Schizosaccharomyces pombe: one gene and its partner. Changing the gene in region 1 together with any one later gene gives a genetic interaction. Each region holds a gene or a part of one and is shown on either strand. Other genes may lie near its edges.

Region 1 (3,359 bases):
TCAATGTTAAGTACCACAGTGACTAGATACTTTCGTAACGACTACCAGTAAAGGACTACAAACACAAAAAGCTTTTTAAAAGGCTAAAGTCGTTATGCAATGGTTGGATTTTACCAACAAAGTTTTGTTACGGGATGTTGTATCACTAACATTCCGTTACGTCTCATTTGTGCCAATATACTGAATGCTTGCGTAAACTCTGTAATACTTGGAAACGGCTTCACTGCGCCTCACTATTTGGAAAGTTGTAACGCTGTAAATGTTTTGTTTTTACCTATAAGTAAATAGAAGATACATAATAAAATTTGGTGATGCTCTGGATTTTCAGGGATAATAGAATTTCTGTAGTTATATTTTCTACAATGACGGCTAACTTTTAAATTGTTTAATCTTGATGCCATGCAGTATAGCTCAAATGCTGAAGAATTTAGGTAATATGCATTTTATACTTTGTCTTTAAATTGTCATACTTGTCTCTTGCGACTTTTATAGCTAAATAATAATATTCCAGTGCTAACGTATGTGTTTTTTCTATAGTAATCCAAAAAAAACACGCAATTTATTGTGTCAGTAAATAAAGTAACTTGTAAAAATAAGTTTAGCTGAAATGTACAACAATCAGTCCCCCATCCAATGCGATAGCAGCCGCAGTTACAAATATTATTTATATTTAATTATTACATTTTGTTTACAGGTACATAATGTTTGTTAACACTTTTTGTACGTTTAATTAAACTAAAAGTATTTATTTTTTTAACATATACTCTAAAAAATTAATTTACTCAAGTTTGAGTTATCAAGAAAATTTAATCTACAATAATTATTTTTGAAGCACTTATTTGTTTTAATAGTATATAGTCTGGTGAAACAATTAGAATTCGTCTGTAAGTAGTAAAAATACAAAAATGTTTCTATGGTTTTCATATCATAAATACTTACACTTCACCCGTTTAACTTAAAAACTTAAGGTAATCCGTAGTACACCAAATTCTTTTCTTTTCTTTTTTTATTTTTTTTTATTTTTTAAAATGTATTTTATTTAAGAAATAATAAATAAAGTCCCTTATCCAATTCCACTAGATATAAATCGTTAGTTTAGAATTTACCAAAATACTTTTCAATAGCTGTCGTATATACATATTTATACACATTTATTACTTTCTTTTAAAAATAACTTATATCAATTATATCGTAACGTAACTGATGAGTGGAATCATTTAAAACAATTTAAGAGAGAAGTTGATATTGGCTGTTTATTTATCCGAATTTTTTTATGTTATAGTTCTACCATATTTGGCGGTTGTTTTCTTTATTTTGATTATTTTTTAAAAACAATTGAAAAAGTTTAGTTAATAATCAAGTAAATCTAATAACTATATATACAGTTTTCAAAGCACAATATCAACTGAGGCTTCGTGGTGTAGTGGTAGCATACTTCGTTTGGGTCGAAGTGGTCAGGGGTTCGATCCCCCTCGAAGCCCAAAGCCTTTAAATTTTTGTTTCAAATATAAAAAAAGTTGATTTGTGCTTGTAAAGTACAAACCGTATAAAAAAAGGAAACCCGTTTAATATTCTGTGTAATGGTTAAAGGGTTGCATAAATTACCGCTCTTTAATTACATATTAAGAATTTATCATACATTGTCCAAGCTCTTCTTGTGCTGAATTTTTATAAGTAACGCGACACTACTTCTTTCATCGTAAAAACTTTTCAAGTAATTAGGAAACTACATTTATGAACCATTTACTGTAAATACAATTATATTTTCATCTGGGAGATTAACAAATATTTTATCACTATTTGAATGCGTCCCATTCCAGTGAAGAATCGCATTGGAAAAAACAACATTGATAATGCAAAGGGACTGAAGGGGAATAAGCTTATTCGTCATTATCATAACCTGTTAAAAGAGAAATCTCGACTTATTGCGTCAAGTGCTCCGATTGAAAAAATAAAAAATGTGGAAAGTGAACTCGAAAATATAGGTATTGATGCTTACCAACGAGCTAGTCGATCCGGTCAAGCGGAAGGAAAAGGAGGGGATTCAAGTAAAATATTGATAAAATGGATTCGGACAACTCCCTGTTTTTCGTATTGCGCACGTCTTAAGGAGCCGAAAGATTTGTTGGAAATTGGCAGTGTTTCTGTTGACAACAAATGTTCAACTTGTGGACTTTTCCGAGTTTCAAGGATTGATTTGCATTCTGTTCATCCCTTGATTAAACAACAGGACTTTCTTGAAAGAACTCCTGAAGAAGGACTTTTTACTGGGATAAGTTGTTCACTTGTGCTGAATTTTGCACCTCCAGAACTCCGAGCTAAAATGTTATTACATTGTACAGGATTGTTAATGCCTCCTAATAAAGAACAGCCTCCTTGGTTATTTTTGGTTTTGCCTTCGCCTTGCATAACAAATTCTCGGTACATGGATGAAAAAACATTACACTCAATTATGATACAGTTTGGATTTATCTGTCGTCAAAAGTCTATATCGAAAAAAATAGCCTACTATTTATATTCTTACGAGTGTTTTCCTATGAAAGAAATAGACTGGAAAAAGAAGATCGTTAATGATGGGGCAACTAGGAATAATTTCTTCATTCCCTGTATACTCTAATTAAGATATTTGTCAATACAAAATTTATTTTACTAGTATCTCAAAGTTAAATTAATGAAATGAATGCTTTTTGTCGGTTATCCTCTTGCTTTTTTTTAATTGTATTGTTAATGTCAATTACTAGCCTTTACTTACGTAGCTACAAAGTACGTTTTTCAGAGTTTGTTCGTATGCGATACTTTACTAATGAGCCGAAAGCTCGATCATTGGTGTAAAAAATAGTAACAAGTCATTTTCGTTATATGTCTTTTTAAACTTATTTGCCAAGTTTACAAATCTTGTGCACCGCTCTGTGTTCTATGCATACAGAACACATCTGTATAACGTAATGGAGCGTACCCTTTTTAGGTGAAGTAGCTGGTAATCATCGAAGTCTCTCTTCTCAAAAGCAGTAAACTTTAGCTTGCAGTATATATTCGTGAACGATAGTAATTAAATATGTCCGACCTCAGGAAGTAAGTAATTTTTGTTAATATGAAAAAGCAAAGGTTAACGTTTGTCACCAATTAGAATTATCGGTCTTTCTTCGGTATGCATCGCTCAATGACTCCTACTCGAGCTAGACATCAATTCCATTTTAAACGAGTCTAACTTATATTATTAAGGTCCTGGCAGTAGGATTTATGCTGGTGATCCTGTCTTGTGCTTTATTCAAGAATTGGTATCCACTGCTAATTGGTATGATTTTGTCAACCGTTGAGAACTATTTCATTTACATTGCTTACGAATTACTAATGAATAG
Region 2 (5,439 bases), on another chromosome or scaffold:
TTCTAATTTTTTAGTGGTTGGGCTGTTACAGATCATTCCAGTTTCTCCTATCATTCAGCTTTAGTAAAGTAAAAATTGGAAGAATTTAATTACAAACCCTTATTAATACAACTCCCATTGTCACCAAACTATTGATACATTTTTTTCTGCTCTCATTCTGTTTTCGAATAACGAGGTGTAAGCTAGCTTATTTCCTACTTGTGCAAAGGAAGTAGAAACGTTTCTTCTGTCTCTGCAAGCAAGCAACTTTGTTGCATTATAGAAGCTGAAATGAACCGTATAGGTATCCTCTCAAGGTCTGATGGCTCGAGCGAATGGAAACAAGGTAATGCTATTATCCACGGTATATTAGCCAAGCAAATGCCAATTAAAAAAAAATGAATTTTCTTTATGCTAACATCATTGTAGGTTCTGCTAGGGTTATTTGTGGTGTCAATGGTCCTATTGATGTAAAAATCAGGGACGAAAGGCTTAACAAGGCCACCGTTGAAGTTTTGGTTCAACCTGTGAGTGGTGTCGCTGAGACTTTGGAAAAGATGATTTCTAGCAGAATTGTTGGTATCCTAGAAGATGCAATATTTCTAAACACATATCCAAGAACACTTATACAAGTGTCAATTCAGATAATAGAGGAAGATGGCACAGATACATTGGCTGCCGTAATCAATGGTGCGGTACTTGCTTTATTGGACGCAGGTATCTCTTTAAAATATATTCCCTGTGCAATAAATTGTCACTGGAAGAACAAAATAACTCAAGATGAACCTGATGTCGATGGGACAATTAACAAATTGGAGTCTATTATTACTATTTGTTATTCAATTTCCTCAGAACCAGCCAAATTAATTTTTCTCGAAACAGCTGGCCCCATTCCAGAAGAAGATTTTTTCCGTGTTCTGGAGACAGCACCATTGCATGCCGAGGAAGTTTCTAAGAAAATGAAAGAATTGCTTTTTGAAACGTACAACGAGAGCGATGGTCATGAAAATGAAAAGAACCCCAAAGAGGATGTTGAGATGGATGTGGTTGCATAAGAAAATCAATAAAGTGCATGTAAAAAGTCCATCTCAAGGACCTTCGTTTCGTATTTACCATTGTACCTGTTAAACGACTATACCTTTGAACAATATCTTTGGCTGTTCATTTTTATACTTAGATTTTATATTACTTGGGCGATATACATTGGGTTATTTTTAATTTATTTTAGTTTATTACTAATTGAGAAACCAGAACCTAAACAATCCTACTACATTAGAAGGTTTACTGTCATTCTTTCAATTCACTAGCAATTAATGTGTTCTTTCAATACTTCAATGTATGCTGATACATTTGGGTTAAATCATAAAAGAAGATCTGTCATAAGACAATCGTTCAGTACAAGGCCTTGGGTATATACACTCATGACTTTTTTTTTTAATTTTGCCACTCACTCACTTACTCTATACATATTGAGTCTATCTAACGTATCAAGCTGTTAACTAAGAGAAACGATTTGAAAACACATAGGAAGGTCGCACACATTAGCTGTCTTATATACTACTGAATTTTAAGTTTAGGAAATCATTGAAGGTAAAATAGGTAGAAAAGTGAATAAAAGGCATTCATACCCAGGACAAAGCATTGCCTTCATAAACTGGGAATTTGCCATACACTAAAAAATTACTGTTGCACAACTTTTCCTAAAAAGTAATCTAATGTAGTAATATTATACTACAGCAGGTATTAATATTTTTTCACATGTCCTTTTTTTTATGTGTTCGCCAAATATGACGGTTATAAATTTAGTTAAATACTTTTGATTGAAGGTACTATTAGCTACAATTTATGAATAGAGATCAATTGACCCGGTTCTCAGTCCAGTTATAAGCTGATTCAACGATGAGTTACACCCTTCATGCCACAAAATTTATAGCATTTGTCACCCATATCACTTTTTTTAGGACAAATAACATACACTACCAATGTAACATTAAATGTGATAACACAGTGCGTTGCTAACATTTAGCAATTCTTTTCTTACCACGTAATACTTTTTATGGATAACCTTATTCCGCGTTATTTTTCCCCACTCACAGCACACTTGATTGCCGAGTCCAATCAAGTTGATATGAATAACCGTGATGACGGAATTAGGGCGCTTCGTAGACCTTAATTGTTTACATACAAAATGTTCAGCTATGCAGCCCTTTCGTCCACATTCAACACTCCCCCATCTCTTCTTAAAAAAAAAATAAGCAGAAAAACTCGTTTTCTGTAAAGTAGAAGGTATTTTAGAATACACTACAATTTTTTCTAGTAAAACTATTATTGGATACCTTTTTTTCGCAGTTCTAAAGGCTTATTTCTGCTAGTTATAGTAATTCACTGTGTATTTAGGAGAGGACTCAAGGTTGTCGTTCTCTCTTTCTATTACTGTCTATTAATATCGTAAAATAGCTCAATTTTGAATGGGTTTATCTCTTTAGTTTGCTTGCTCTTTAACATTTGTCATTATCTCATACATTTTTTTACTCACGCCTCCCTACCACTTATCACTTAGTCCTATTTAAGGGGAAATTTGTTTACTTCTTTTTTCTTAAAAAATGTCGGTCTCAAAAGCTAGACTACAGTCTGTGGTTCGCCTGTCTCGTACAGTGCCATATTCAAAAACGATGGTTCGTTCATTTCATGTATCCTGTGCTGTAAAGAACAGTGGGAATGTTCCTACACCCCGTAACAAATCATTTTTCTCTCGAGCACTTGAAATGGCGGAAGTTACTTCTTCTTTGTCCATGTTGGGTGCCGTAGCCCTCTTCCAATCCTTACGAAGACTGAACAACAGTTCGCCAAAAGGAAAATCTGGTGTTCCGAAAAAGAACATAGTTGTTTTGGGTTCTGGATGGGGTGCAGTCGCGGCAATCAAAAATTTGGACCCGTCCTTGTACAACATTACCCTCGTGAGCCCTAGGGACCATTTTTTATTCACCCCTATGCTTCCTTCATGTACCGTGGGTACTTTGAGACTTCCAAGTATTACTGAGCCCATTGTGGCTTTGTTCAAAGGAAAAATTGATCCCTCCAACATTCACCAAGCTGAATGCACTGCCATCGACACATCGGCTAAGAAAGTTACCATTCGTGGTACGACCGAAGCTAACGAGGGAAAGGAAGCGGTTATTCCGTATGATACGCTTGTTTTTGCTATTGGAGCTGGTAATCAAACATTTGGTATCCAGGGTGTCCGCGACCATGGCTGTTTTCTGAAAGAAGCGGGAGATGCCAAGAAGGTGTTTAACCGCATCTTTGAAATCTTGGAACAAGTTCGATTCAATAAAGATCTTTCTCCCGAGGAACGGGCTCGTCTCTTACACATCACTGTTGTTGGTGGTGGCCCTACTGGAATGGAATTTGCAGCTGAGATGCAAGATTTCATTGATAACGACGTTAAGGATATGTTTCCCGAGCTTCAAAAAGACATCCATGTCACGTTAATTGAAGCTGCCCCCGGTGTTCTCCCCATGTTTACTAAATCTTTGATTACGTATACGGAGAATTTATTCAAAAATCTTAACATTAAGATCATGACTAAAACCGTGGTTAAAGATGTTAATGAGAAGAACCTTATCGTTCAAAAGACCAACCCTGACGGAAGCAAGGCTATGCAAGAGATACCCTACGGAATGCTCGTTTGGGCTGCCGGCATTACTGCTCGTCCACTCACTCGTACATTGATGTCTTCTATCCCTGAACAAAGCGGTGCGCGCAAAGGTTTAATAGTTGATGAGTTTTTTAGGGTCAAGGGTGTACCTGAGATGTACGCCGTTGGTGATTGCGCATTCTCTGGATTACCTGCTACTGCTCAAGTTGCTAACCAACAAGGTGCTTGGTTGGCTAAGAACTTGAACGTCGAAGGAAAGAAGTTTGCATTGCATGAACGGATTCAAGCTCTTGAAAAACAGTTAGGTGAGAAAGAGGCTCCTTCTCAGGTTGCCGGATTGAAACAGCAAGTGGAGCAGTTGAAGTTAGAGCCCTTTAAATACCATCATCAAGGAGCTTTAGCTTACGTTGGAGATGAAAAGGCCATTGCCGATTTAAAATTGCCATTTATGAAAAAGATGCTGCCTTTGCAGGGAATTGTCGGCCACACCTTTTGGAGACTTGCATATTTAAATGAGTTGATTTCTGCTCGATCCCAATTCATGGTGTTGATTGACTGGTTGAAGACAAGACTATTTGGACGTTATGATGCTAAGGTTTAATGAACGGAATGAAATACTTTTGGTTTACAAGCAATTGTTTCCTTGTGCTTTGTCGTTAATCATAAGATGATTATTTTATACTTGAAAAAGGAACGTATTTGAATAACAGATTTCGAGATGAACGATTCGTTTCGACTACTACTTTGATAATTTAAGTTTATGTTATTCTAAATGATAATACTGATGCCTTATTTGTTCTATGATGGAATAATTCTTAGTGTTACTCCATTGATGTATGTAGAAAAGCTGGAAGTTAACAGTTGACAGGTAGTACAATTTCGTTACTCAACGAGACTATATGTTGCATATGAACTGAAAGAATTATATTTATGTCTTACTGTATTCAGAACCACTTTAATTAGAGCCCGTATAAACCATGTTCTCTGCTTTTAGCTAGCTAATCGTATAATTAATATGCCATGCTGGCTTCACCGGCACTAGATTCGTTGTACAGTATTATATTACACTACCCCATCAGGAACCGTTTCACAAAAAACCCGTTCGCTTACATAGCAACATTTCTTAGATAATTTCATATTTCTAATCCACTCCAAATAAGATATCCTTTCTTATATAGATTGAAAGTTTTAAAATACTGCTTAAATATGCTTAGTTGACTCTACCTTGCTCACTTCAATTTTAAACCGTTTTCAAAGGTTCTATCAACTCCATCGCACCGGTACTTTTTAAGATCATTTAATGATATACGTTGTATAACATAATAGATGATTCACTAAAAAAACTCACCGTAGTACTGATTGCATCCTTATAAGCCTAACAAAATATGTAATTATTCTGTTAAGTTATTTACAATATTTGTATTTGCCGCTCAATATTGTTTAGCGCAATAAGGTGATATAGCCTGGCCAAAGCAGAGAATGTCGAAGAATCTTTCTACTTGCAAAGCAATTGAAAGTTGAGGCTTTATTCTTGTTTTTAACCCTCAATAATGTCTCTAAACCAAAAAATAACAAAGGCAGTTGCTCTTTGGCCGAAGGATGAATTGCGACCTTGGTTGTCGTTTCCTAAGACTCTTGACACATCTATTAGAGCCAGACTTCAAAAGATGCCACCTCAACAGGCTAATAAGCAGTTAAACGCTTTGAATAATTTGCTTGATAATGTCTATTGGAATAAGGTATGCTTCTTATTACGTGCCTTGATAGGGTCGCCTTACCTTTGTTCGCCTTTTAACCAAATT

The links.
Region 2: mutations in bmt2 (region 1) and ndi1 together harm fitness more than expected from each alone (negative genetic interaction), as found in Schizosaccharomyces pombe (one large-scale study listed by BioGRID).

Annotation. Positions count from the first base shown.
Region 1 is NC_003424.3:363,746-367,104, forward strand, and holds bmt2 (rRNA (adenine) methyltransferase Bmt2), read left to right. Parts: upstream 1-1,699; 5' UTR 1,700-1,804; coding exon 1,805-2,617; 3' UTR 2,618-2,697; downstream 2,698-3,359. Other genes in the region: protein Vps55, read left to right, coding at 3,056-3,072, 3,128-3,146, 3,223-3,295.
Region 2 is NC_003423.3:639,104-644,542, forward strand, and holds ndi1 (NADH dehydrogenase), read left to right. Parts: upstream 1-2,190; 5' UTR 2,191-2,582; coding exon 2,583-4,238; 3' UTR 4,239-4,803; downstream 4,804-5,439. Other genes in the region: exosome subunit Rrp46, read left to right, coding at 271-325, 409-1,034; respiratory chain complex assembly protein Cbp6, read left to right, coding at 5,188-5,376.